7 linked regions of the Canis lupus familiaris genome follow. The protein of the gene in region 7 purifies or fractionates together with the protein of the main gene of each other region. This does not show direct contact. Links are inferred from orthologs where the notes say so. Each region holds a gene or a part of one and is shown on either strand. Other genes may lie near its edges.

What was found.
Region 1: the proteins of ARMC8 (region 7) and ZMYND19 purify together in Homo sapiens (affinity purification with mass spectrometry; 4 studies listed by BioGRID and IntAct, with this or other methods). This does not show direct contact. The link is inferred for Canis lupus familiaris from reciprocal best matches to the Homo sapiens genes ARMC8 and ZMYND19.
Region 2: the proteins of ARMC8 (region 7) and MRPL18 purify together in Homo sapiens (affinity purification with mass spectrometry; 3 studies listed by BioGRID and IntAct, with this or other methods). This does not show direct contact. The link is inferred for Canis lupus familiaris from reciprocal best matches to the Homo sapiens genes ARMC8 and MRPL18.
Region 3: the proteins of ARMC8 (region 7) and RMND5B purify together in Homo sapiens (affinity purification with mass spectrometry; 4 studies listed by BioGRID and IntAct, with this or other methods). This does not show direct contact. The link is inferred for Canis lupus familiaris from reciprocal best matches to the Homo sapiens genes ARMC8 and RMND5B.
Region 4: the proteins of ARMC8 (region 7) and RMND5A purify together in Homo sapiens (affinity purification with mass spectrometry; 5 studies listed by BioGRID and IntAct, counting the BioPlex papers as one, with this or other methods). This does not show direct contact. The link is inferred for Canis lupus familiaris from reciprocal best matches to the Homo sapiens genes ARMC8 and RMND5A.
Region 5: the proteins of ARMC8 (region 7) and RANBP10 purify together in Homo sapiens (affinity purification with mass spectrometry; 5 studies listed by BioGRID and IntAct, with this or other methods). This does not show direct contact. The link is inferred for Canis lupus familiaris from reciprocal best matches to the Homo sapiens genes ARMC8 and RANBP10.
Region 6: the proteins of ARMC8 (region 7) and HTRA2 purify together in Homo sapiens (affinity purification with mass spectrometry; 5 studies listed by BioGRID and IntAct, with this or other methods). This does not show direct contact. The link is inferred for Canis lupus familiaris from reciprocal best matches to the Homo sapiens genes ARMC8 and HTRA2.

The regions. Positions count from the first base shown.
Region 1 is NC_049230.1:48,177,324-48,181,616, reverse strand, and holds the start of ZMYND19 (zinc finger MYND domain-containing protein 19), read right to left. Parts: upstream 2,801-4,293; 5' UTR 2,753-2,800; coding exon 2,702-2,752; intron 1,623-2,701; coding exon 1,563-1,622; intron 589-1,562; coding exon 482-588; intron 1-481. UniProt on the Homo sapiens protein: May be involved as a regulatory molecule in GPR24/MCH-R1 signaling.
Region 2 is NC_049222.1:49,590,863-49,594,956, forward strand, and holds the start of MRPL18 (39S ribosomal protein L18, mitochondrial), read left to right. Parts: upstream 1-1,294; 5' UTR 1,295-1,412; coding exon 1,413-1,506; intron 1,507-1,748; coding exon 1,749-1,935; intron 1,936-4,094. Other genes in the region: TCP1 (T-complex protein 1 subunit alpha), read right to left, coding at 247-310. UniProt on the Homo sapiens protein: Together with thiosulfate sulfurtransferase (TST), acts as a mitochondrial import factor for the cytosolic 5S rRNA.
Region 3 is NC_049232.1:3,659,357-3,662,426, forward strand, and holds the end of RMND5B (E3 ubiquitin-protein transferase RMND5B), read right to left. Parts: intron 2,803-3,070; coding exon 2,637-2,802; intron 1,452-2,636; coding exon 1,349-1,451; intron 1,257-1,348; coding exon 1,102-1,256; intron 1,016-1,101; coding exon 952-1,015; 3' UTR 501-951; downstream 1-500. UniProt on the Homo sapiens protein: Core component of the CTLH E3 ubiquitin-protein ligase complex that selectively accepts ubiquitin from UBE2H and mediates ubiquitination and subsequent proteasomal degradation of the transcription factor HBP1.
Region 4 is NC_049238.1:38,714,441-38,717,940, forward strand, and holds part of RMND5A (E3 ubiquitin-protein transferase RMND5A), read right to left. Parts: coding exon 3,453-3,500; intron 1,485-3,452; coding exon 1,384-1,484; intron 1-1,383.
Region 5 is NC_049226.1:82,245,889-82,250,110, reverse strand, and holds the start of RANBP10 (ran-binding protein 10), read right to left. Parts: upstream 2,801-4,222; 5' UTR 2,539-2,800; coding exon of another isoform or gene 2,399-2,538; 5' UTR 2,331-2,398; coding exon 2,096-2,330; intron 1,312-2,095; coding exon 1,200-1,311; intron 1-1,199. Other genes in the region: TSNAXIP1 (translin-associated factor X-interacting protein 1), read left to right, coding at 2,399-2,538. UniProt on the Homo sapiens protein: May act as an adapter protein to couple membrane receptors to intracellular signaling pathways.
Region 6 is NC_049238.1:49,111,623-49,115,899, forward strand, and holds the start of HTRA2 (serine protease HTRA2, mitochondrial), read right to left. Parts: upstream 2,801-4,277; 5' UTR 2,798-2,800; coding exon 2,292-2,797; intron 2,189-2,291; coding exon 1,984-2,188; intron 1,896-1,983; coding exon 1,701-1,895; intron 1,460-1,700; coding exon 1,427-1,459; intron 1,189-1,426; coding exon 1,083-1,188; intron 936-1,082; coding exon 866-935; intron 181-865; coding exon 85-180; intron 1-84.
Region 7 is NC_049244.1:34,998,916-35,002,415, reverse strand, and holds part of ARMC8 (armadillo repeat-containing protein 8), read right to left. Parts: intron 2,972-3,500; coding exon 2,896-2,971; intron 2,803-2,895; coding exon 2,712-2,802; intron 1,086-2,711; coding exon 1,025-1,085; intron 1-1,024. UniProt on the Homo sapiens protein: Component of the CTLH E3 ubiquitin-protein ligase complex that selectively accepts ubiquitin from UBE2H and mediates ubiquitination and subsequent proteasomal degradation of the transcription factor HBP1.

The sequences.
Region 1 (4,293 bases), on a different chromosome or scaffold from region 7:
ATGTCAGTCAGTCTGTGGTCAAACAAGATGGACCATGCTAACAGTTCAGCCCCTTGATTTGAGAGCTGGGCTGCAAAAAGCCAAGGATGGAGCCCCCAACCATCAAACACACAGCCTAGAGAACACCCCATCTGAGCAGTTCCAAGCAGCAGTTCCACCGTGGACGCCACGAGGAGGCAGGCCATTCCTCACATCCCACCAACAGGCTCAGCAAGAACACAGTGGACGGAGCAGAGTCCTCCCTACCCCAGAGAGAGAGCCATGCCCGGTACAAGTGCCTGAGCAGAAAGTGCACTTTTAGACTGCTCCATTAGTGGTACGCTATACAAATGAGCCATTCCTCTGGGTTAGCGGCAATGATTCAAAGGTAACAAGAGGGGTGGTGGGGGGAGCATGACTCCGATAACACATCCTCTGTCAACAGGGACAGGTTGCTGCATGCAGTACCCAAATGAGGAACAAGCAGCTCATAAACACCTACCACAGCAGCTCGTGAAGGAGCCTTCCTGACCCTCTTCCTCGGTTTTTGTCAAAGGCATATGCGAATATCTTAGCACCATTTCCATCTGCATCTACTTCCATCCGGGCCTGAGAGAGAAATGGTCTGTTAAAAAGCCTTCAGGTCTCAGCTACATTTTCAAACTTTATTAAAGAAGTGAAGTGAAACAAACAAGTTAGAGCAAATATATGAGGCCTCTTTCTGGGACCCCGGGCTTTGCAGAGGCTCCCAGACATGAGAAGCCAGCCCTGTATCCCAACATACTCCACAAACCACTCTGCAAAACACTGTAGACATAAAGAGACAAGTTTTCCTACTCTTAGAAAATGCCCACAATTCAGTGAGAAAAACAAACCCTTGAACAAGTAACTAATAGCTAAGCCCTGAACACGTAGGGTAAGGTACAGAGCCCCCACACAGGTGAAAATCCGCATAGGACTTTTAACTTCCGGAGACTTCACTGATAGCTTGCTCTGGACCAGAAACCTTACTGAGGCAAACAAGTGATTAACACAAACTTTGTATGTGAGACATATCGTATGCTATATTCTTAAAGAAAACGTTTTCAAAGAAGTCATGATGAAATATATTTACAGTAATAGACTATGTTTATCAAAACCCCCCCCACATCTAAGTTAACCTGTGCAGTTCAAACTCTTGTTCAAGGGCCACCCTTTCTGTAAAAACACGAAGGGCTGAGATAAAGCATAGTGGGTCCACAGAGCCCTCAAGGATTTCTGAAGTGGAGGAGCCGGTAGGTGAGGATGGGCAGGTGAACAGAAGCTCATCCCACAGAGAAGAGTGGAAGGCAAGGGAGCTCAGGAAGATGGGGGATGGAGGAACGCTGGGCCAAGGCCAGAAGAAACATGAGGTGGCACTTGGACAGTCCCCTAGGGAGCCAGGGCTTATCCAACTGAACATCATCACAAACACGACACAATGTGATCTACTTGCACCAGGGTGAAAGTGGGAGAGAACCAACAACACAGGGTAAAACCCATTCCTCCTGACCCTCCTCAAGCATTGGCTGAAAGCAGGCCCACAGAGAAACAGCCATCCTTACCTCAAAGGAGTAGCCCTCCACCAGCGGGATATCTTGCTCATCTATCAGTGTGTACTTCGTCTGGAAATTAACCACGTTTCGCAATGTTACATTCAGGGTCACAGTAAAGTTTTAGTAACAGAAACCGCCCCTTCAGGTTAAATGAGGCTAGCAGGTGAGGGGCACCAAGTACCCTACCCCCAAGGCAGGTGGTCATTTCCCACTCCAGACTGTCCCAGAGGAGTAGGAATCAGGCTTCACTTCCCATCCATACGCGCCTAAGCCCTAAGTGCCCCTGGACTGGCTAACCTCTAAGCTGTGTTTCAGGTGCTGCTGACCCTCATTTGAGACTGGGGCTTCCTCGGAACAGAGGAGGGGCCCTGGAGTGAGACAAGGCATACAGAAGGCCTCGAAAACATTTATTTATTAGGATGGGTGGCAGTACACAGGTGCTCACTGAACTGTTTAGCTTTCTTCTGAAATGTTCCAAATAAGTTTTAAAGGATGATCTGAATGCAACCAGTCACTGAATAAGAAAAGGTCTCAGAGCCGATGGGGAGCCCACCCTTCCCCAGGTAAAAAGCCACATTCCTCTTGCAGGAAAGGCAGGAAACGGCCCCCCAAACGGACTAGTCTCATTCTTGCTCGGGGAGCCTCCTTCTAAGATCTAAGTCGGTTTTACCTTCATCTGACTGCCTCTGCTCCTGTCTCCCACCAGGAGCTGCCGCCGCTGGGGATGGGAACAGGGTTCCCATCCAGGGTAAGGTCCGTGGCTGGAGCAGCTGCACGGCCGGCCGGCTCCTGGAAACAGCCAAGCCTCAATGCCCACAGGTGCCAGGAAGCCCCGGCCTCGAACCCGCGGAGGGCGGGGCCAGGTAAGGGAGAGAAGCAGAGGGAGGCCCTGCTCCGGGAGGCCCATCGAGGCCCGTCCGCACTCGGCCAGCGCCGGCAGCGTGAACCCCGCGCGAGGCTCCACGACGGGCTGGCGGGCGCCGACACGCACGCACACCGTCCTGCCGCCTCGGAAGGGCGCTGTGCTGCCCGCGGGGACCCTTCGCCCGCCCGCCCGCCCGCCCGGCTCCGCAGCCCCCGACCCCACGGCCCCAGCCCAGCGTCCCGGCCCCGCGGCCCCGCGGCCCCGCGGCCCCCGCGCCGCTCACCTTCCCGGCCACCCGGCCGAGCCGCACGATACCCAATTTGAAGTCGGTCATGGCCAGGCCTGCGCTCGGCCGGCGGCGCCGCTCCCTCGGGAGGCGCCGGGCCGGGACCGGGACCGGGGCCGGGGCCGGGCCGGGGCGGCGCCGCGGCGCGCCGGGTGGGCCGGGCCGGCGGGCCGGGGTCGGGGCCAGGCGGGACGAGGCTGGGCCGGGCTCGGGCCGCCGCCGCCTCGGGCCCGCCGGACCTGCCACGCGCCACCGCCGCCGACGCCGCCACCGCCGCCGCCGCCGCCGCCGCGCGCACCACCGCGAGCGGAGCCGGAGGCGGGGTGCGACGCGGACACACCCCCGCCCGCCGCCGACCCGCCAATCGCGGGGTGCGCCCCGCGCCGGCCTGCGCGCGCCGCCGCGCCGTGGCCAATGGGAGGAGGGGAAGTACGCCGGCGCACTGAGGAGCAGTGGGAGCGCGGGGGAGGGGCGCGGCCGAGGGCGGCGCTTGCGCGGCCGCCCCGCGCTACGTCAGTTTCGCGGGAAGCTTTGTGCTGGCGGCCGCGCTGCGGCGTCTTGCTCCCCGCTGGCCGCCCTCGGCTCAGGCCGGGCGCCGGCCCCAACGCCCGGCCGCGGCCCTGCCCCTGGCCCCCGAACCCACGCGCCGCCCCCTCGCGGAGGGGCGGCCCGAAGGGTCCTGCGGAACTCGCTGCGGCTCCCGGTAAACGGCTCCGCACCCGCGGGACGGCGGGCGAGGGGCGAGGGGCGAGGGGCGCGGGCCGCCCTACTCCCTCCCTGGACACCGCCCCTGTGCCAACGGGGCCCGTCTCCCCCGCACTGCCTGCGCTCGGGCCGCCGCCGCCTTCCCCGCGGGTCGGGCCGTGAACCGGGCTGCGGTGATGGGCCCGCGGCCGCTCTGCCCTCCGCTCGCTCCTGCTGGGCGCTTAGGGCGGGAGGACCTGAAGGCTGGAGGGCGCTCGGGGCGGGAGGACACTCGGGGGCCGCCGCCCTTGTTACCTAGCAACCACCCCGCCGCCCGCACTCCCACTGAAAGTACCCGGGAGTGCAAATCAGAACGGCCCGTGATGAGTGATAAAGGCAGTGGGGGAAACCAGGAGAGCAGCATTAGGAGGCTAGGGGCCTAAGGAAGGTGGTGGGCAGGCTCTGCCCCATTGACTCATGGACTTGAACAGTGTAAGGAGTGGAGAGAGCACCATGTGGGCATCTGGGGGAAGAGCTGGCCACAGGGCCCTGGGCTGGGATGTTGGGAAAAGTGGGATTGTCCGCTGTGACCAGACAGGAGTTCAGGACAGGAACAGGGCTGAAGATTAGAGATGTGGGAGCCAAGGGTGGTGGTTAGTAGGCTCTTAGAAGAACGTTGATTTCTATACTTAGCAAAGGGAGGCGGTTGGAGAATTTGAATAGAGCAGCTTTTCCATGAGCCAGGCTGGCTGAGGGGTACAGTAGTTTAGGGGGAAGACTGGAAGCAGGAAGGCTGTGGAGCCAGTGAATACAGCAGCTAGTCAGGGGGTGATGGTGGTGTTTGGACGTGCGGGGCCAGTCTTCTGTAACAGTCCGCTTAAACCTGTTTATGCTTCAGTAACAAT
Region 2 (4,094 bases), on a different chromosome or scaffold from region 7:
GATCCGCTGCCGACCACAATCGGCAGGGCTGTGCCCCCAAACGTGCGGGGCTCTCCGCAACGCCTTGCGGACGGCGAGAGGGCGCTGCCGCCCCGCCCCGCCCCGCCCCGCCCCGGGGAGCCCCGCGAGGCGCATCCCGGACCCTCCAGGACGGAAGGGGCGCGGTGGCGGCCCGAGCCGAGCGGGCTGGGGGCGGGGGCCCGCCCCGCCGTGGGCCCGCCCGGCACAGGCCTCGTTCGCGCTTACCGTTCTGGGAGCGGATCGCCTCCCCGGTGCTGCGGTCTCCGAACACGGACAAAGGCCCCTCCATCTTGGCGGCGGGGTGCACGTCGAGGTTCACGCTGACCGCGGGCAACCAGCGTCTGGATCCCAGGCCCGGCGGCGGCCACTGCAGCGCGGCGGCGGCGGCTACGGCGTGGAACGGGGCCGAGCGAGGCCGCGGGGGCTGCTGGGAACACCGCTGCCGCGGCCGGGCCGCGGGGCAGGGCGGGAAGGAAAGAAAGGGCGGGGGGAGCGAGAGTGCGAAGGAGCCGGAAGTGAGGGGGCGGGAGAAGGCGGGAGCAGCACTTTCGCCCAATTAGAGAGCGAATGAGCAGGGCGCGAAGGCAGGAGAACGGAAGTCAGGATCGCGCACTGGAGGAGGAAGGAGGTGCACGGTTGAGGCTTCTCTTCCCCTCCTGCGGGAACGGGTTGCGCGTGCGCGCTTGCACCTTCTAGTGCTTTCTAGAAAAAGTGGACGGTGGGGCGGAGCTTGCAGTTGGGGTGTGACGAGAGGGCGGGCCTCTCCCGGTTCGGCTGCACTCCTGAGCGAGTTCGGCAGGTTCCCTAAGGGTCTTCAGAGAGAACGTGGCGAGTCGGGGCTGACTTCCGAGCCCACGAGCATACGCTTGGGGGCCTGAACCTGGGTGGGACGGGCCAAGTGCTTTCTACGAGGAAAATGGCCACCACGGTTTCTGGAGAGAAACTGCATCTTGCGCTGCGCCGGTTCCTCCCGTTGCCCAGCGGGGCCGTGTGTGGATCTGACCGCGGTCGGCAGACGCTTTGCGACCGCAGGACCAAATAAGGCAACGTGAAGTTACGGGTGCCTCGCGCCTGCCGGTCCGGCGAGACGCCGCCCGCGACCTAGCGAGCTGCGCCCCGCCCCCCGCGCGGTGCTGCGAGGTGGTTGGCGGGCTCCAGCGTAGCGTGCGCCTCTGCGTGGGCAGTGATTGGAGGAGCCGAGGTGACTGATCGCTCCGTCGGCCACTCGGCGACCCGGCTCGCCAGTTCCGGGCGGAGGCGTCGGTGACCCCGGGGAACCCCGGGGAACCAGTTCTCCCTGAGTCAACATGGCTGCGGCCGGCGAGCGGCTGGGACGCCGGTGAGGGGAGGACGTGAGGCTTTTCCGAGGCGTAGCCCGCGATCCCTCAGCGATGGCGCTCCGCTCGCGGTTCTGGGAGTGCCTGTCGGTTTGCAGAAACCCCGGGAATTCCCATTTCTCTCAGACGACTCCTCGGGGGCTGCACAGTAAGTGTGCACATGCAAGTCGTGTTTTGTAGTCCACCCCGCCGAGCAGCTTACGGGCCGACAGCGCTGTGACGACAGTACTAGGACCTGTGATGACTGCGTCCCGTGACCAGACTTCCCTCCCTCCCTCCCTCCCGGGGAGCGAGGATTCGGGGAGTGGACGGGGATAGCGGTTGGGCCTTATTCCCGTTTTGTCCGTGTGTGTCAGTTTTTAAGATACGCGTGGTGGTTCCCGTTCTTAGGGTGTGGGGTCGCAGCGCTGTCAACGAGTGCCGAGCCCGCGGCGAAGCCTGAAGTGGACCCTGTGGAAAACGCAGCCGTCGCCCCAGAGTTCACCAACCGGAACCCCCGCAACCTGGAGCTCCTAGGTGTGGCCAGGAAAGAGCGGGGTTGGGGGACAACCTGGCCCTCCCGGGAGTTCTGGCACAGGTAACTGCGGCGGCCGGTTAGCCGACCGACGGAGCAGTGCACGCTGCCCTGCAAAGCGTTCCTCAGCTCAGTCCACAGGCCGGATACTTGTGGCGATTCTCTTCTCGGGAAACCGCCGTTTGGTGGTGGAGGAGGGTTCAGTGGCCGGGGGCGGGGACACAAACCAACAATAATGGAAGTAAATAAATGAATGTCAGGGAGAAAATTTAAAGAGGATGATGTGAGGTTGGGGAGCCTGGGTGCCTGCTAAGGCCCCTTCTGAAAGATAAGGTAACCTGCCGAGAAGAGCACTCCCAGCAGAAGAAACGGCTGGGGTGGGTGGGAATGGGAATCCTTTCCTAAGGACTATATAAAATCGTAACAGGAAGTTAGAGTCATAACTATGATATATTCATTCCACAAACATTAGGCCTATGGCACTTCATAGGCATTGTGCTAGATGCAGGAGATGCAAAGAAAGTAGATTTCATCCTTGTTAGCAAAAATTTTAGGTTTTGTTTTGGAAGATGGAATAGGGATAATAAAATTTTACGATTGCTGTGATGCGTTTTTACTTAGTGTTCATAGGAGGAGTCAAAGAAAGGGAGTAGGTAGGTCACTTTTGAAATAATTTGGATCTTAAGTCTAAAATTCTTTTGAAACCCAACCGTTTCAACTTAATATTTGGACCATCTAAATAGAGATGTATTTTCCCACTTTTTTAATTTCCTATCTGCTATATTCACATTATCATCAGTATGGAATTTTGGCATATTATAGTGGGAAGTGACCTCAGAGAAGATGAGTCCTGTGCCTTTGTTGGACAAAGGTTCAACAAATGGTTTAACATACAGATCAGCAAACGATGGCCAATGGGCCAAAGTTGGCTTGCAAACTAAAAATTTCTTTTTTAAAGTGTGAAAACAAATTTCAAAAAATAATATTTTGTGACGTGAAAATTATATAAAATTCAGATTTCATTATCCACAAAGAAATTTTTTTTTTAATTTTTATTTATTTATGATAGTCAGAGAGAGAGAGAGGCAGAGACACAAGCAGAGGGAGAAGCAGGCTCCATGCACCGGGAGCCCGACATGGGATTTGATCCTGGGTCCCCAGGATCGCGCCCCAGGCCAAAGGCAGGCGCTAAACCGCTGCACCACCCAGGGTTCCCCACAAAGAAAATTTTATTGTAACATACCACCACTCATTCTCACCTGGCTGTTCTAGTGTTAACTGTGGCTGAGTTGAGCAGTTGCAAGAGACCCTACGGCTTATAAAGCTTAAAGTATTTACTATCTGAGACTTTAGGGAAAAGGATTGTTGACCCTTGATTAAGAAATTGTGATTTTTCACTAGGGCTTCCAGCAAAACCAGGTGTAGAACCCACATTTCTCAATCTAGTGCTTTTTCTGCTGTTTCACACTAAGAATCCTAGTGTGATCTCTAATTTTAGTGTTTTCTTTAACGTGAGCTTAATTTTTAAACGTGTAATATAAACATATGCTATAAAATCCAAAGGGGGGATAGTTTGTGTATCCTTTTAGAGAGAATTTGTGTATACCGGTATAAACTTATAGTTTTAAATTACAAATCTTAGCACACCATGTACACTGTTATTCATCTGAATCCTCTCCGCTCCCTTCAAAATACATCTTGGAAATCCTTTATGGTGTTTAGGAACATTAATTCTGGGGCCAAAACCCTGGACTGAAGTCCTAGCTCCATTACTTACCATTAGTTGTGATCTTGTTAAAGTTTCTAAACCTTTCTGTGTCAGTTTCTGTGGCCTTAAAAAAAAAAAAAAAAGATTATGGGCAGCCCTGATGGCTCAGCGGTTTAGCACCGCCTTCAGCCCAGGGCCTGATCCTGGAGATGCAGGATTGAGTCCTGCATTGGGCTTCTTGCATGGAGCCTGCTTCTCCCTCTGTGTCTCTGCCTCTCTCTCTTTCTGTGTCTCTCATGAATAAATAAAGAAAATCTTTAAAAAAAGAGAGATTATTTTGAAACATGAGCTATCCCAGTAAACAAGACCGTGCCTGACATAGTAGGCACTCAATAAATGGTCAGCAGCATTCTTTCTGGTAACTATAGAATACCACTGCATGGATGTTTTAGTTAGCTAGCTCCATACTGATGATTACCTTAGTGATCCAAACCATGTTGCAATGAATTGCGTA
Region 3 (3,070 bases), on a different chromosome or scaffold from region 7:
CTGGGGAACTCCTGGAAGCAATTTTAGCCATGCACACAGCAAATCAGAAGTAGGTATATGAAGCTAGAGACAGACCCCAGGCCAGCTCTCCTGCTGAGCAGAATGACCCTGGTAACCCAGTCCCTTTAAGCACTCCAGACTTCAGGTGCCTCCCTGCTCCCCAGGGCTCAGCACAGGGCTCAGCTGGCACAAGCAGCAAGCAACCAAGCTCCAGGCACCCTGCAGTAAACCACAAAGAGCTTGAGATTGAGGGTCAGATCCAGTTCAAATTCCTTCACAAGCTGTGAGCCCCATAGGGCAAGTCTGTTCATCTTCCTAAGTCCCCTGGCACTGCCTCCTAGAAGGGAGGGGGCAAGATTTGATACGTGTTTGTGTAAGAACCTCTTGCTCAGGGCGTGACATCCCCGGGCCTCTGCCCAGTCTGAGATGCAAGTGGGGTTCTCCCTGGGTGTGGGGGCCCTGCAGTAGTTCCTTGTCAGTGAGGCTAAAGGAAGGTGAAATACAGAGAAGGCCTGTGAATATATTTGCTCAGTTATAAAACAGTGGCATTCAGTTGGAACCCGGACTATTTACAGCGGGGAACAGATACATACAGTTGTGAAGCTGTACAATAGAAGGGGTGTTAACCATAAGCCACCTGGCTAGCCATGTGACTGAAAGGACGTCTGCGTTGTTGGCCCAGTCCTCTGCTTCTTGTCGGTCGCAACCAAGTCACTGGCAGGTATAAACAGGAAACACCAGGAGTGCAGAGGCCCATGTCTCCCACCCTTCCAGCCAAGGAGCCAGCTGCCCATCACAGACTGGTTTGTCTCCTTTCTTGGCCTCTACCCATGGTGGCACTCAGTCATTTGCTCTGAAGCAAACCACAATCTGAAGTCAGCCACGCCCACCAAGACAGACCACAGCTCATAGGTGGGAAACCCCTCTGACAAAGTTCATCCCGAGCAGGTATCAGAATATGATGCGTTTCCCATCTGCTGGGTTCTGCTCCATGGGACAGTAGGGACACTTCAGCCTGCAAAGGGAGGAGAACAAAAAATGTCTCAGGGGCCAGCCAGCTGGAGAGCCCAGTCAAGAGGGAGCAGAGCATGGGGAACTTACTTTCCTCCATTAATGAGCTTGTTGAGTGCATCCCGCGAGATAACGTGGCCACATATGAGCTTGATGGGAGGGTTGGAATCTGACGTCTGCTGCCTGAGGATGGGGCATGCGAACACTGAGTGGTACCAGCACTTCATGCCGAGTTCGATCTCAATCTGAGGAAGCCAGCAAAGGGGTGAGTCCCTGCAGGGGCAGCAGCTATCCTTCCCAGGGTCTTCTGCCCACACCTCCCCCTGCTGGGCCTCACCGGTAACTCGTCCTTGTGACTCCAGACCCCCGTGCACTGCCTCTGCTCAATCACAGCTTTGATGTTCATCAGCACAGGCAGCGCCACACAGCCAGAGGCAAAGCTGCAGAACAAAGAGCAGCAGCTGCAGTGCCCCTGACCAAGGACCCAGCAGACACGCCCAAGGCACCAGCACCCAGTCGTGGGCCTGTGTCTTAGGACAGGGCTCTGAGGTGGCACATGGTCAGACTGCTCCTTGAAAATCTCTCTGGTCACTCATAAAGTGCCACATGTGTAGTTAGGTGTGTCTAAGTCTAGAGTCACTAATGCACCCCAGAGTTTGAGGACCTATGGGAAAGATAAAAGGAAGATCTAGGGGAGAGCTATCTGCTCCTCCAAACCACTGGAATGTCGCTGGTATGATGGGGACAGTGATCAGCTTGAAAGGGCCCCAGCCTGCCTGTCTGCCCCACTCTGCCGTCATAAGGCACCTCTACAACTGCTTATCTTCCATCAGGGCACTTAGACACGGGGGCAGATTCAAATCTCACAATGACTCAGGCAGGGGCGGGGAGTCGACTGGCTGGTGCCTCAGGTGCTAAATAAATACCTATGATGCTTGGGGAAATTGGGCACCCAGGAACCATCATGGGTTGTCCCTGGTGTTCCTGCTGGGAAACACTGTTTTTTAACCAAAATCCGCCCCCCCCAAGGGGTTGGGCAGGAGAGTCCACAGTCAGTCTAAATAAAAGGCACTGTGACACTGCTGCATGGGATTCTGGGACCAGGTCTTTGTAGCCTTTCTTCCCTGTGGGGCTCTGGGCAAGTTCACTCATGCCTTGAGTCTGTTTTGTCCTCGGTAAAATGAGGATAACTACCTGTAATTCCTAGGACCTGGTGAAATCATGAGAACATTAAAGGAGTCCAAGGGAAAGGTCCTGATATGTGTTATTCAGGCACTTTCAAATCTCCCCAAAGGGAAGATGTTTGAGAGAGAAGGTTGAAAAAAGGCAGCCAGGCTGCAGAGGGTGTTGGGATAATTCAGGGGTGAGGTGCAGGCAAGAAGGAGACCTCATTTAAAAGACCTGACAAAAGGTCACCGCTGACCTTGCAGTGACATCAGGCCATGACTCTTCCTAACCTCAGTTTCTCCAACTGTAAAATCAGGTAACTCCTACCAGGGAGAATGACTAAGAGAGCCCATATAGGTCTGAAAGCACCAAATGCCATCCCTGGCACAAGAAAGGACCTTGGCAAACTTTCCCTCAAAGCCTTCCCACTCGTGCCGCCCCCACAGGACTGCCGGTACCTGACGCTGAGGGGGGACTCTACAGAAAGCCCCAGCAGGGAGCAAGCGTCCCGGGTGAAGGTCTCACAGATCTCTGCCCAATGGCTATTGTCCAGGAGATGGCAGTAGGGTGACTTCTCCAAGCCCAGCCGCAGGTACACCAGACTGCCCATCATCACCTGGATCTCTACAAGGCAATCGGGTACAGGTCAGGGTGAGGGGGGGTGCTCAGAGGCAGGGTGGGGAGCAGGCTGAGGCTCGCAGCTCCCAGGTCCCCACCACCACCAGATGACTGGGCGCTGAGTTGCCCTCAGGCAAACCCGGTTTTCCCTCAAGTCCAGTGTAGAGGCCGAGTCTCGGGGCTGCTTCTGTGGGACAAGGCCACAGGGCAATCAGGTAGAGGAGAGTTTGAATTCTCTTCTCATCCTTCCATGTGCCCTAGGGAAGAGTCTCAG
Region 4 (3,500 bases), on a different chromosome or scaffold from region 7:
GGTACTTAACCAAAAGCAGACACATAACTGACTAAGCCACCCAGGCACCTCTGACGTTTATTTTTAAAGATACAGTACCTACCTGCCTCATATTTATAATTTATAGTGGAATTTGTCATTTACAAACTTACACAGAAATCTATCTCTACATGATCATCTGAGCTGGTCTTAGAACTATGCAAATTTTAAAAGAACTGATAAATGATCAGAAATAGAAAACTAAGCTATGAAGAATTAAGTGTGTTAATGGAAGAAAAAAAATGTGCATTTCATAAAAATCAACAAGAATCTTCCCAATTTTTTTTTTCTGAAAACAATGATCTCAAATACTTCCAATTTTTAAATACCAGAATTCTATGCCTAGAACCTCAGCAGTTTCTTCTCTTTATTTTATAGCCCTCCTTCATTTCCTTCTTTCCAACAACCTGGTAATCCTCACATTAAAGAATTCTAGGACAGAGATGCCTGAATGGCTCAGTGGTTTAGCATCTGCCTTTGGCTCAGGGCATGATCCTGGGGTCCAGGGATGGAGTCTTGCACCGGGCTCTCTGCAGGGAGCCTGCTTTTCCCTCTGCCTATGTCTCTGCCTCTCTGTATCTCTCATGAAAAAAAAAAAAAATTCTAGGACAGGGGTTGGCAAATTATGGCCAAGGTCCAAATATGGCTTGTTGTCCATTTTGTACACCAGATGGCCAAGATTTTTTTTTTTTTACACATTTTTAAACAGTTGGGAATAAATCAAAGAATATGTGACAGAGATCTCATGTGGCTCGCAAAACCTAAAATATTTACTCTCTGGCCCTTTACAAAAAACTTTGCTGATCCTGCTCGAGGGTATTATTTATCACAGCTTACTCAGTAATTTAAGACAGTTCATATCAATGACCAGTTCAAAATGAATCATTACATGTTACAGTGATAATTAGCACAGAACTCCTTTGTAACAGTATTTTTGGTCTTTATGCATACCACTTAGTTCCAATAACCAATTAAGTTGTTTTTTAGAATGCTAGCACAGAATCCCACACATTATGGAAGTTCAAATATCAAACTCAGACCATCTAAACAATAGTACTTCAGTTACAATGCTAGTCTATAGTAGTGGAATGGCTTGGATACAGGAAACCCTTTTTCTATCTTGGGAATTCAGATCAACTGATAAGCAAAGAAAGCTCGGACCATTTTCTCCTATTTGCACATCCCCCATTCTTACTTAATTAAAAGGAAGAAAATAATTTTTCCTTGCTTTCTCTGAAGTCCATCCTAGGTGAGATGTATAGATGTACGGATATATATCAAAATCTCAATGTGTTTTTTTAATTAAGTTTTCTTACAGAGAGTTTCTCCCCAAGTATTTGGAAGAAAACAAACACAGAAACTTACTCCAGAGCAGGTCTCAGAACTCTGACTTTTAATGCTTCTAATATTCGATTTAACTCCACAAATGGTTCTTTCTGACTTGGGTCTACAGAAAGACCAGATTCCTGAAAAAATAGAAAGTACTTCTGTTAGCAGTAATCAGGTTAAAAGATATAATAAGGGATCCCTGGGTGGCGCAGCGGTTTGGCGCCTGCCTTTGGCCCAGGGCGCGATCCTGGAGACCCGGGATCGAATCCCACATCGGGCTCCCGGTGCATGGAGCCTGCTTCTCCCTCTGACTGTGTCTCTGCCTCTCTCTCTCTCTGTGACTATCATAAATAAATAAAAATTAAAAAAAAAAAGATATAATAAAAACATATTCTAAATTATAAAATATGGCGCAAGCCATTAAAAATAATTTTTTTACCATATATTTCTATGGTACAGACTGAAGACTGAGCCCTACTATCATTCTTTCCAGTAGTAGTAGAACCCTTATGTATTCCATACAGAGTACATCAATGTATGGAATAAAGCTTCGTATGACTTTGCAGAGATGTAAGTTCTGGTCAGTAAAACATAAACATGTACTCTTTATCCCTTCCTGGCATATCAAAAGTTGTAACAGCAGAGCTACAAGGAGGGTAGGTCCCTAAAAGCTCATGGAGCACAGCTACAATATATGCTGTGGATGGCTTACTACCTCCTATTTCTGTGCAAGAGAAATAAACTTCATTTTTTTAAGCCACTGGTATTTTATGTCTTTGTACTTATAAATCAGCTTAATCCTAAACAATATAGGATTTAATAGACATAAACAAAATTCCCATACAGAGAAAGACCTGTGTTATTGTTTTTCTGAATTATTTAAAATAGAAGTGGTGCCTGGGTAGCTCAGTCGGTAGAGCATGCAACTCTTGATCCTGGGGTTGTGAGTTCAAGTCCCACACTGGGTATAGAGATTACTTAAAAATAAAATCTTTAAAAAAAATAATAAAATAGGTTTAGATTAGAGGTTTTGTTTACAGTCTGGCTTTAAACTATTTCATCGGGATCCCTGGGTGGCGCAGAGGTTTAGCGCCTGCCTTTGGCCCAGGGCGCGATCCTGGAGACCCGGGATCGAATCCCACGTCAGGCTCCCGGTGCATGGAGCCTGCTTCTCCCTCTGCCTGTGTCTCTGCCTCTCTCTCTCTCACTGTGTGCCTATCATAAAAAAAAAAAAAAAAAAAAAAAAAAAAAAAAAAAAAAAAAAAAAAAAAAAAAAACTATTTCATCTTTATAATCCTTCATTTTTCTAAACAGAAAATACAATAGCACATGGTGGCTTAGACTAAGTTTGAGGACATGAATTTGGGACTGAATCCTAGTTCCTTTGCTAAGGAACCTGCATGGCCTCGGGCAAGCCACTTCTCCAGACCTCAGATTCCTTATCTGTAGAATGGAAGCAATTTTTACCTCACAGGATTGCAGTGAAGAATAATGGCAGGAGTTGGCTTGTGGACTCAATACATGGTAGCTGCCACCATTCTGACTAGGTGATACTGGTGAACTATTCTGAGATCCCTAAGCTCATGTCTACTAGCAATAAAAGACAAAAGCTGCTCATCTGAAGTAAATTTTAGCTTTAAACTCATTTGATAAACAAAATGCTACAAGTTGGGCCAGATTCTTCTTTTCTGCTATCCTACCTTCCCTATTAAAAGAGGAAATGGGGAAGGTCATATCACTTTTGACCTCTTGATGACCTGGGACCAATGTGATGGGGCAGGAATAAGGAAAAAGCAACTCAAATAAGAAGTTCTAGGATCGTAGTCTTTACTAATTAGAAAAGAAAAGAAAAGAAAAGAAAAGAAAAGAAAAGAAAGAAAAGAAAAGAAAAGAAAAAAAGAAAAGAAAAGAAAAGAAAAGAAAAGAAAAGAAAAGAAAAGAAAAGAAAAGAAGAAAAAGACTTCCTAGTAAAATGAGGTTAGTCCTGAAACTTAAAATATTAAAAATCTATCTATGGCTAGAAGAAGATTCAAAAACTCCAAGGAGTCCCCTCGTTTATTTCATCCTCTCACACACTGGCACACTGGTAGCAGACATACTGTTACCTGGCAGAGCTCTTCAGCTACGTCCAGCATTCCTTGTCGGAAGAAGTG
Region 5 (4,222 bases), on a different chromosome or scaffold from region 7:
AGGCACAGCTCTGACTCTATCAGTCCTCCCCCAACACAAACCCCTTGGCTGGGCGTTTTGCATGTACCACAAAAGGGACAGTCCCTAGGAGAGAGGAAGTATTCTGAATGCTCAAGAACACATATTCAGGGTTGGCACGAAGGTCACTGGTCTAGTTGGCAAACTTCCCACATCAGACCTAAGGTCTGATGAGGAAAGCCTTTCCAAGACAGCTGAAATCATGTTATTATATAAGTTAAACACCTGCTTTGTCACAATCAATAGGAAAAAGGGAAGACTAGGAGAAAAAGGAAAAAAAAGAAAAATGCGAAATCTACCCCTCTGACTTCCAGGTGTCTGCTTAGATCACCCTAAAATAGGGAGCCTCCCTAATGCTAACTTTAATGAGGACCTTCCTAAAGCTGGTCCAACTGGTGTTTGAGTCCCTGGACTGAAAAACAAGTTTATGAGCAGCAAGGTCATCTGATTCTGACCATGTGCATGTTATTTACCCTGACATGACAGGCTAGTGGCTGCCACAGCTGTGATAAATGCTGTGAAGACTCTACTATCCCTTTGAAGCCTACAGGGGCCTCTATGTGACTAAATGCCATAAAAAAGAACCCTGAATGCAACAAGAGTGTGAAAGAAGGGAAGTCACAAATGTCATATAACAGCAGGGGAAATCCCACTCTGGACCCTGAATTTTTTTTTAAATTTATTTATTTATGATAGTCACAGAGAGAGAGAGAGAGAAAGAGAGAGAGAGAGAGGCAGAGACACAGACAGAGGGAGAAGCAGGCTCCATGCACTGGGAGCCCGATGTGGGATTCGATCCCGGGTCTCCAGGATTGCGCCCTGGGCCAAAGACAGGCGCCAAACCGCTGCGCCACCCAGGGATCCATGGACCCTGAATTGTTAATGTAAACTTGTTACTTGTTTCCCTGACCTATGAGGTATCTCATTACATAATCACTGAATAGGAAGTCCCCTCCTCTACCCTCAATGAACCTACTTGCCATCAAGGGCTGCTGCTTAGACTAGGCCATGCCCACGGTCAGGTCATAGAGACAGCCCACTCACTATTCAACCCTCTGTAGCCCAGACCCATGCATCTTAGCAACTCACATCAGTCACAAGTGTCAGCCAGAAGACCTCAAACTCTGACCATAGGGAATAGCTCAGTGCCAAGGGAAAGAAGGTGGTAAGAAGGGGCTTACCCATCTCTTCCTTTGCTGACAATCTTCACCTCAAAGTAATAAATGCCACAGGCAGCAGGTATGGGGTGGGTGGCACGCACTGAGGCAGCATCTTTGTGATTTTTGCCATGACCTAATAGGAGAAAGCAAGTAAGAAATTTCAGCAGAAAGAAATGCAAATAGAAGTCCTGTTCTTTTCTACTCCATGGCAACTTCACTGCTTCATGGCCAGAGGAAGCCCTGACATTGTTGGAGGAATAACCAGATAACAACTGAGCAAACACATAAACCTCCCACCTTTGGCTCACCTCTTACTGTGAACAGCAGCCCTGCCAGAGACAATTTCTCCCATACAAACTAAGTCAGGGTGCAGGCAATGTGGATGAATGTGAGAGATTCCCAAGCGCTGCTGGCAGTCTCTCCAAAACACAGAGAGCCCACCTAGATCAGGGGAGAGGGAGGCAGCTCTGGAAGATCACCCCTCTCAACTTGAGTAAAGAACCACAAGCTCTCTCTGATATCTGGCAGGTGAGCAAGCCCATGGGCCTCTGGCTAATGGAGGGGTTGTGACCACCCCTTTCTTCAGACACTCCCCAAACTAAGCAGTGATGAAAGGCCCAGCTGGAATTGGAGCTATCCCAGGATAAGCAAGGCCCTCAGGAGGAAGGTCCAGCCTAGCACTGGGTTTGGACACCTGTTGCAGTCCTCCTGACATCGGGTGTCTCGGGGCACAGCAGTCCAGGCAGTCGACCCTCGGCCTGGTCAGCTTCAACACCTTGGACACCCCGCAGGGGCTAAGGCCTAACCCGGGGCACCCAAATCGGGGAAGGGACGTGATGGGACAGGGGCCGGGCAGCACAGCCGCCCGGCAGGTGCTCCGGTCTTCCCCCCACCCCCAGGGCCAAACTGGCCGATACCTTTGTAGTGGACGCGGAGGTTGCCCTGGGAGAGGCCGATGTAGTTGTACTTGTCCTTGGGGCTCCAGGAGCGCGGCAGCGGCGTCTCATGCTGGTTGACCGCGGGGTACAGGCGCTGAAGGCGCCGGCTCAGCTCCTGCTCCCCCGGGGACTGCAGCCCGCCCCCAGCGCCCCCGCCAGAGGAATCTCCAGCTTGCGGGCTCCCAGCTCCCGGGTCCGCCGTCGCCGCCGCCATCTTGGAGGGAGCTGCTATTGTGTCACTGGGGGCGGGGAGGAGCGAGACCAGATCTCCCCGCTCAGCCAATGGCCCGCGAGCCTACCGAGGCCGCAGGGAAACCGAGTCCAAGTCCTACACCTCTCTTTGGACTCTGCCCTGCTTCGCCACATTTCGGACTATATATCCCACAATGCAGAGCTCTCCAGAGGCGGGACAACCAGTGCTCGTAAGGAACTTTGGGAGATGTAGTACAAATTTGCTCAGTCATAAGCCTGTTCAGCGGAGACTTTGGGAAACCAAAAACTACAATTCCCGCTGGCGACGCGGCTCCGGGTCCTCAGTTCACCGCCCGCCCCCATGGCCTCTGTTTATCCCCCCGCCTCAGTTCCGATAGCCAGGGTCAAATCACTGGTAGTAACTGACTGAGGGGACCCTGTCCCCGGGTCCGAGGCCACCTTTGCTTATTGGCTTTGCTCCCAGCTTGTGGGCTCTGGCCGAGTGGGCGTGGCACAGACTCAACTCCGCCCCCGCCGCTAGGATGCTGGGGCCTGGTCGCCATAGCGACGGGCTGTACACTACCGCAGCTTCCCGGGCCGCGGGTGCTGGCTGCCCGACTGTCTGAGGGTCATGGCCTCCCCCAAGCCGCGGTGCTCCAGCTTCGCGACTACGTCGAGGTAGGCCCTGACCCGACTGAGGGCGGAGAGGAGGGTTTGAGAACTTCCAGAAAGTGAAATGCCTCTGCCCATTGGTCCAGGGCTTCAGCCCCTCAGGATCGGTGGTGCAGAAATGGAATCTGGACTGACTTAGCCCCCTGAGAACACTAGATGCTAGCAAAAGGGCTGGCGCACTTTATCATTAGTAAGAGACAGCTTGCATGTATTGAGCATATATTATGTGCCAACTACTTTATATATGGCACATTTAACCTCACAACTCTATGAGGTAGTAATATTTCCGTTTTACGAATGAATAGAAGCCTGGAGAGATCATGTGTTTTACACGTTTATAAGCGGTAGAGCTAAGGGGACTCCTGGGGAGCTCAGTGGTTGAGCGTTTGCCTTCCGCTAGGGACGTGGTCCCGGAGTCTTGGGATCAGTCCTACGTTGGGTTCCGCGCGGGGAGCCTGTTTCTCCGTCTGTCTAGCTCTCTGCCTTTCTCTGTGTTTCTCTTATGAATAAATAAATAAAATCATTTATTAAAAATGCTAACAAAAAAAAGTGGTAGAGCTAGGATTTGATCCCAGCCTCGTGAGACTCCTGAACCTGCGCTCTTAGCCACAGAGATAAACTGCCTCTTCGCCCATTAGCTTATGGCAAAGATGATTGTCGAATTGCTGTCTATTCAGGTTGCAGTCTCTGGGCACTCCAAAAGATGACAACAAGCTCTATTAGCTCGTAAAGCCACAAGTGTACATACTAAAACAAAAATTTTGGCTAAATATCTTTCCAGCTTTGGGAATTCAGAAGTCTCGGGATGCCTGGGTGGCTCAGCAGTTGGGCACCTGCCTTCGGCCCAGGTGGTGGTCCTGGGATCCAGGATCGTGTCTCACATCAGGCTCCCTGCGAGGAGCCTGCTTCTCCCTCTGCCTGTGTCTCTGCCTCTCTCTCTCTCTGTCTCTCATGAATAAATAAATAAAAGCTTAAAAAAAAAAAGAAGAAGTCTCTTAAGTTCAGGGCCTTTGCTTCTGTATCTCAAACATGGGGATGATACAACCCACTTCAAAAATATTGTTGGGAGGGATCCCTGGGTGGCGCAGCGGTTTGGCGCCTGCCTTTGGCCTGGGGCGCGATCCTGGAGACCCGGAATCGAATCCCATGTTGGGCTCCCTGCATGGAGCCTGCTTCTCCCTCTGCCTGTGTCTCTGCCTCTCTCTCTCTCTCTGTGTGACTATCATGAATAAATAAATAAAA
Region 6 (4,277 bases), on a different chromosome or scaffold from region 7:
GAGAAAGGAGGGGATAGACAGCCCGGTTCAAGGGCACATGCATACGTCACCCATCCCCACCTCACAATGCAGTCTCTTCCTCACCGATGTGCAGGGGAGTCCAGGATGACCTTATGGATGAGTACACCATGCTGAACATCAGGAAAGCTTGGTTCTCGAAGCTGTAGTTCAGCAAGGATGCTAAAAGGACACAGATCACTCTGTTAACAGCACCAAGGCACTCTCCCCATCTTGGGTTCACCTCAAATCTCTCATCAACACACCGACAACTGCATGGACAAGGGCATGCACTAGATACTCCGGATACAAAGGCAATTCACTTTCTGCCTTTTCAAAGTTAGGAAGTGGGACATGTGTATAAAAGGTAACTCATTCCAAGTGATACATCATATTAAATCAATAGCACTAATGTCATTCTAGAATTCTAAGAGAAACTTTGAGAGAGTAGAACATAAGCTGAGCATAAAATGGTTCTGGTATTTAACTATATAAAACAAGAGCAATATAAATAAAACCATAGGAGTAGGAAATCCAGGTCAGCTGGAACAGAATATATTCTTGTAAGAAGCCAGATCTAAAAGGTTAAATTGGAGACAAATGGAAAATGGCCTCTAAGCACCGGGCTAATGGATTGAAGTTTTTAAACCAAAGCAGTAACAGGATGAAATCAATCTGGTAGCAGGTGTACAAGAGGGATTGGAGTGAGAAAGTCAAGATCATGAGAATAGCTCTTCTGATAGCTCCTAGTGTGGGGCAACTTATCTTAGATAAAGATAAAACTGAGAACAAAGCCCAACAGAAGTGCCACTTGCCCACCACTGAATATACTGGTGGTCCTACAGGTCACTACCCCCAAAGCTCGTACCTGGGAGTCAGGGTCAGCATCATCACTCCAATGTAGCGGCGCTGGGACCCACTGATTCCAAACCAGGAATCTGTGATAGAGGGACAAATGAGCCCCACCCAGTTACATCCTTCCTTCCCCTCCCTTTCCTCCCAGTAGACAACCCCTCTCCAGTAAAGCACAATGAATGCCCTTCCCACCACTCAAAGTAATTTCTTCCCCCCTAAGCCAGGCTCACTCTTCTTTTCCCCACGATGCAGAAACTCTCGAAGGCGATCAGAAGGGATGGCAAAGGAGATTCCAGCTGTGACCTTCATGGTATTCACTCCAATCACCTCCCCATCCTGCAGGAACAGAGCCCACTAATCCCTAGCCCAGAAACATAGTAGGAGGAGGGGATACCTGAACAAGAGTAGCAGGGAGAATGAGGGAGCAGGCTGGGGAGACCTGGTTGGATTTTGGGAGATAGCCAACAGGAGGCTGCTTAGAAACTTGACCAAACATCGTTGAATTAGAGGAAGCACACCCATTCTCACACTGACCTGGGGCAGGGATTCTTGGAAAGAAGGATGTCCCACTCACCAGGTTAACCAGTGGACCTCCAGAGTTTCCAAACTGCAGGACAAGGAGAAAATATGGAAGAGATCCAGGAACTCTATGCCTGGAGGCATGACCAGGATGTAGGCACTTTTTCCAAATTCTCTCCTTTCCCAGCCCAACCTGAGTGGCCACATATTTGCAGCCCAACCTCTGTATACAGGCTCATCCGCCATCTATCAACAGTTGGTGCCTGTACCACACAGCCTTTCCCCCAACCCCCAACCTAGTTTGTCATTTCTCTTATATCAGAACGCACATCAATAGCTGCATCAGTCTGGATGTATTCCACATTGGTTTGGGGGAGGCCCAGGTCTCTGGCTGGACGCTGAGCAGAGCTGACAATGCCAGAAGTGATCGTGTTCTGCAGTGCAAAGGGACTTCCCATGGCAACAACAAACTCCCCTTGCCGGACATCAGCTGAGCGTCCCAGGGGTAGTGTGGGGAGAGGCTCCTGAGAGAGAATGGGTATAAGAGACCTGTCATCTGAAGATGTGAGCAAATTCACAGCCCCAACCAGACCCAGCCTGCTCAGCCCCCACCTTAGTCTGAATCCTTAGCGTCGCAATGTCTGCCACAGGATCCACAGCTGTGACCACGGCCTCATATGTGTCGCCGCTGAGCAGCCTCACACGGACCCGGCGCCGATCTGCCACCACATGAGCGTTGGTTACGATGAGCCCGTCGGCAGCCACCACGAATCCTGAGCCATTCGAGATAGGGACTTCGCGGCCGGAGAAAGGGTGCCTGGAGGGGTGGGGGTGAGAAGCAAGGATGCAGGGAGGCTCACACCCCGGCTCCTCCGCCCTCTAGCCCGCGGCTTGGTGCCTCCTGCCTTCCCCACCGTTACCGGCCCAAGATCTCGATATAAACCACGGCAGGTGCTGTCTTCTCCACCACGTCTGCGATGAAGTTGTACTGGCTCCGGGGAGAGCTGGGCGGCGAGCCAAGGACCGAGGCGAGGACCGCTGGGGGACCCCGACCCCCGCCCCACAGTAACAACAGCACTGCCCCCCCAGCGCCCAGCGCCACCGCCAGCCATATACGCGGACGGGTTCCAGGGGTCCCTGAGCCCTCCTGGGTCCTGGGATCTGGGGTCCCTACAGCCAGCCATGCTCGGGAATCCGAAGTCCTCGACGTCAGACACGTCCGTGGTTCAGGGACCCCCACAGACCACCGGGCCCGGAGGCTGGGGGTCCCATAAGTCACTCGGGCCCGGGGGTCAGGAATTCCTGACGTCAGCAAGGCCCGGAGGTCAGGGGTCAGCAGGGGTCCCTTCCCCGAGTGAACCCCCCCCAAAGCCCGCCATCCCCGGAGGTTCCAGGCTGCACCCCGCCCCGCCCTCAGTGCAGCCATCAGCTCCGCCTCGACTGCCTCCTCGCCCGCCCTACACAGAGGCGGCGCCCTGGACGCGAGGTGGCGGACGGAGGGACGCGGGGCACGCCGGGACCTGAAGTCCTCCAGAAGTGCACGCCGGGACCCAGGATTCCGGGAGGCCGACTCCGCCCCCGCCCCAGGAATGCCGGGAATTGTGGTCCCCGCGGGACGCGAGTTCCTAGGTGGCCCAAGGGCCGCGAGGCATGCTGGGACCGCTAGCCCTTCCGGGGCGCCTCAAGATTTCGGGTGCCCGCACCCTGGGCGGATGCCCGAAGACTCCGCCTTCCCAGGAGCCCCTGCGGCCGGGCGCGAAGATGGCGGCGGCGGCCGGAGAGCTCTAAAGCCCCCGCGATGGATCCTTCCCCGGCGCTGGGGCCGGAGCGGCTCTTCGACTCTCACCGGTAAGAGCCCTGGCGGGAAGAGGCCGGCTCCCGCGTGCACTCGGCCTCCGGCGCCCGATCACCCCGCCTTTCGCCCCCAGGCTCCCGGGTGACGGCTTCCTGCTCCTCGCGCTGCTGCTCTATGCTCCCGTCGGGTTCTGCCTCCTTGTCCTGCGCCTCTTTCTTGGGATCCACGTCTTCCTGGTCAGCTGCGCTCTACCGGACAGTGTCCTTCGCAGGTAACGGCCTGGGGGTCCCGGGGAGGGCTGGGCTGGGCCCGGCCGGAGGCCGTGGAGTCACCACTGCCCGCGTCCCCAGGTTCGTGGTGCGGACCATGTGTGCGGTGCTGGGGCTCGTGGCCCGGCAGGAGAACTCCGGACTCCGGGATCACCGCGTCAGGGTCCTCATTTCCAACCACGTGACACCTTTCGACCATAACATAGTCAACTTGCTCACCAGCTGTAGCACCGTGAGTGGGGGGCAAAGCCGAGAGCTCTACGGGGCGGTTCCCTGGGGCCCAGCTGGAGGCTCCCCTTAGCCCGCCCGGGTTTCCCTTGGGGACCACTGGGAAATACTGAGGCTTACCCCCAATCCCGCTTCTGTACCCTAGATGTCAGTTTTTCTCACTTCCCAATATTCTTTTCTTGCTTTCTCTCTTCTCTATTCCCAGCCTCTACTCAATAGTCCCCCAAGTTTTGTGTGCTGGTCTCGGGGCTTCATGGAGATGGATGGGCGGGGGGAGTTGGTGGAGTCACTCAAGAGATTCTGTGCTTCCACGAGGCTTCCCCCCACCCCTCTGCTGCTATTCCCTGAGGAAGAGGCCACCAATGGCCGGGAGGGGCTCCTGCGCTTCAGGTGGGTGAGCACAGGTATCGGTCTCCAGCTGGGTAGGTGGTCAGGCTTGGGGGCCCTTGATTTTTCACAATTTTCAGCCCTACCTTCTCCGTCCTAGTTGATATCTTTTCTGTTTGCTCTTAGTTCTTTCCCCTTATATCTCTTTATTCTTTATTTACCTACTCGTGCAGTTTAACAGTTTTCTGTTCTGAGTCAGGTGCTGACAGGCTGGCTAGAATCCCATC
Region 7 (3,500 bases):
ATTGATTTTCTATCAGGCTAGTGCAGGCTTTATAATACAACCCTAGGCTTCCAAGAGGAAAAACCTATTATTCTTATTTTTTTTGAACAGTTACTAACATTTACTAATACCACAAATCCATGGATTGTTGAGTGTAATGCTCACAACTAGTACGTGAAGAAGATGCCATTAACCTAGTTTACCAATTAGGGAGAAGAGGAGGGGTACAGCAGTTGAGTAAATAAACCAAGGTTACTTGCATGGAATCCTTAGAACTCTACACAATGTTGCTTACTAAGGGGGGAAGGGTCCTCAGATCTCATTAAATTAATTGACTTGCTTCACCAAAGACTATTAGCAAGTATTCGTCTTAAATGTTCTTTTATCCTTGGGTTCATTTTGTACACTGATAATGAGAGATCTCAGGTTCATAAAATGATATATAGTCAATGTATTTACATTTATTTTGTTTTAGAAGAGTAAGGGATGTGCCCAAAGTTACCAAGCCAGTCAGTGGTGAAATTCAGGTCTTATAATTTTTAGGCCAGTCTCTTACCTGAGTTTCTCTATGTTCTAGTTGCTTCTGACATGTCACAATAAATATTGATGGCTTTCATGTGTTATTATCTTTTTCTTTCTCATTATGTCTTTTGATTATCTGCCATGAGGGTGATATAAAGTCTTTGTCTACAGAGCTAGTGAACTGCTTTCCTATAAAACTATGTTGCAAACTTAATGAAACTCAAGGATTAAAATATATTTTATATTTCACTTGAATTTTACATATTTTTACAACGTCTATATCTTCCTAATTTCCATAAAAATGAAAAAGGTGTGACAAGGAAAAAACTATTTCACTTTCACTCTTAAAACACATCTAAAACCAATTAATGTGTTAATAAAATATCATTTTATGCTATGCACACATACCATAGTTGTAAATGTATAAAAAGAAATAGAAAAAAAAGAAATGGGAATACCAAGATTTATATTCAACACTTACGACTTAGTGACTTTTACGTGTGTTCAGAGAGAATTAGCTCACCTTTAATACAATACAGTTGTCATCTGTCCGAATTGCTCCAGCTCTACACATGTAAGTTAAACTGGAATAAGATGGCAAAAAGTAAGTTTTTGCTTGTGTTTTAAAGCTTTAAAAGAAATATTCCTTGCCTTTAGGATTTTATGGGGCAAAAAAAGACAGCTACTCTTCATTTTGTGGGAGGTTTTTCACATTACCTTATATGAGGTTCTGCCAATTTACTACTCAAAAGCAACTAATGGATATATACAGACAATAAAGTCAGATATTTTTAAGAAATGCATACAAAATTGTTTTTTAAAAATAAAGGCTTAATGAGTGGATAAACTGAAGCCAATGTGCCAGGCACATTGGAGGCCCTTACACTTTTTTCTACACGTTTCTGTGTTAGAAAGTTTCCATAATAAAAAGGGAGAAAAAGTTAAAAATATAAAGTTAAAATATAAAATATAAAAATATAAAGTTCACAAAGTATCTAAGATTATATCAAGCTAAACTGGGATATTCTAACTCCAATAAGAGTAATATAAGTATCACAGAAGAAGCATCTAACATTTAACACTTAGAGATAGCCATAAGAAATTAATGATTCTTCAGAGTTTGCCAGCAGTGGCTTTGACAACCGGTCAATGATTTGGTTGTACTGAACTGAATAACAATTTGCCTTCACAATTATATCTGGCTTTGAACTAAGTAGCTACTGAACACTGAGCACTTTAGAAACTTAACGAATTTCCTTTTTGGATTAGATTTCTTTAGTAAGCTGGGCGGGCAGGGGGAGGGGAGCAGGGTGGTAGTACATCTAAAACACTCCATATTCTGGCTTCTACAGAAAGCTATTTTAAAAAAATCAATAAATTTTTTACTTAGATTATAGAGGACTGAATTGTTTATAGCTGTTATCACCTTAAGACTTGTTACCACATTTTTAAAAAACTGATTCCACAAGAGCATTTATCTTACTTAACAAAGTTTTTTTTTTTTTTAACAAAGGTTTTGAAGACAAAAAGCCAACTAGTATACAATATACTCATATAAAAAAATTCATTGTGCATGAGTAATTCACTGAAAATTCCCCATTCTTGCCAAAATACTAGAGAGGCACAAATTCTTAAATATTGGAACCATAAATTTAGCAAAGAACCTTACACAACAGGTGCTCAACCTATCAATGTATTCATATGACCTGAATGTTCATATGAGCTAGGACTTGTATTAATAAGAATTTATCTTATAAACGGTCATATCTCTATGAGAATTTTATGTTTTGTTTTTTCTAAACACGAGGAAGCCATATTCTCTGAAATTATGCGTTGGTTATCAGCTTCAACTAATTCTCACTCCATATTTTTGTATCTTTATATTTTCTCAATTCTTTGCATAAATTTGTTAGTTAAATCTAATTCTATATTATTTCAACTGAAACACAAAGAGAGTACATTGAGAATGTAATAAGGTAATTTTCTGTGGATAGCCTTAGCTGTTATATGAGTGCTGATGCTCTGAATGCTACTAATAGTACACTGAGTAAAAAACTCATGCCCATTTAAGAAAATGTGAGACAACCCATGACTTGCAAATTCCAAAATCCCAAAGATGAGGATTGGCAGTGAGCTGATTAGGCTGTCCAAAAATACTCTAACATATTGATAAAGCACAGTTGTTCTTCCCACATTGTCTTGACTTTTACCATTTTGCTGATGTCAGCTGCATCTCAATAGGCTTATCCCTCTGTAACATCTTCACAAAAATTTGTGGTAACAATTCTCCATCAACCAAAACTAAAAATAAAAGAAACAAGAATTAAAGAATTCTTTAAATCTACAAAGTTCATAAATTAAATCATGTAGGTGCCACTGAAAGTTCCAGCCTACCATTTACCAGGGTCATCGATACCTGGGGGTTTTCAAAAGCTAAAACTGAGAAGCATTTCAGTGCTTGCATTCGAACCTGTAACAATAAATAAACAAAAAATGCATTTATCTTGATTTTGCAAATATGAATTTTAAGGTCTCAGAATCTAAACTCTTCTGAAGAAACAATTGTTTAAATCTGCTTAAAATAGAAAGAAAGGCCTCAAGGGAACACCTGAATATCTGGAGTACAGTAAGTTAAACTTAATTATAAAATGTTAAAATTAATTTTGAAGTAAAAGAAAAGAAAAAACAGGAAGAAGCAGCAACTAAAATTTAATTATATAAATTCCTAATCAAATTTAAAAGAACAATGTACAAAATACAATGTTGGTAAGTCAAAGTGAGCTTAATAACACTTAATTACCAAGTACCTTTCAAGTGGGACATTTCTTCTCCCCAAACTACAAACAAGAGAACTGAAGACAAAAAAAGGAAAACAAGAAAAAAAGAAGGTGTACTCTTAAAGTTGTGTGAGATGGGGTTGTGGCAAAGGGAACAGAAGGAAACAAAGTTAAAATCTGAAAAGGACTAAGCTAATTTATTTTTATTATTAAACCAATTTT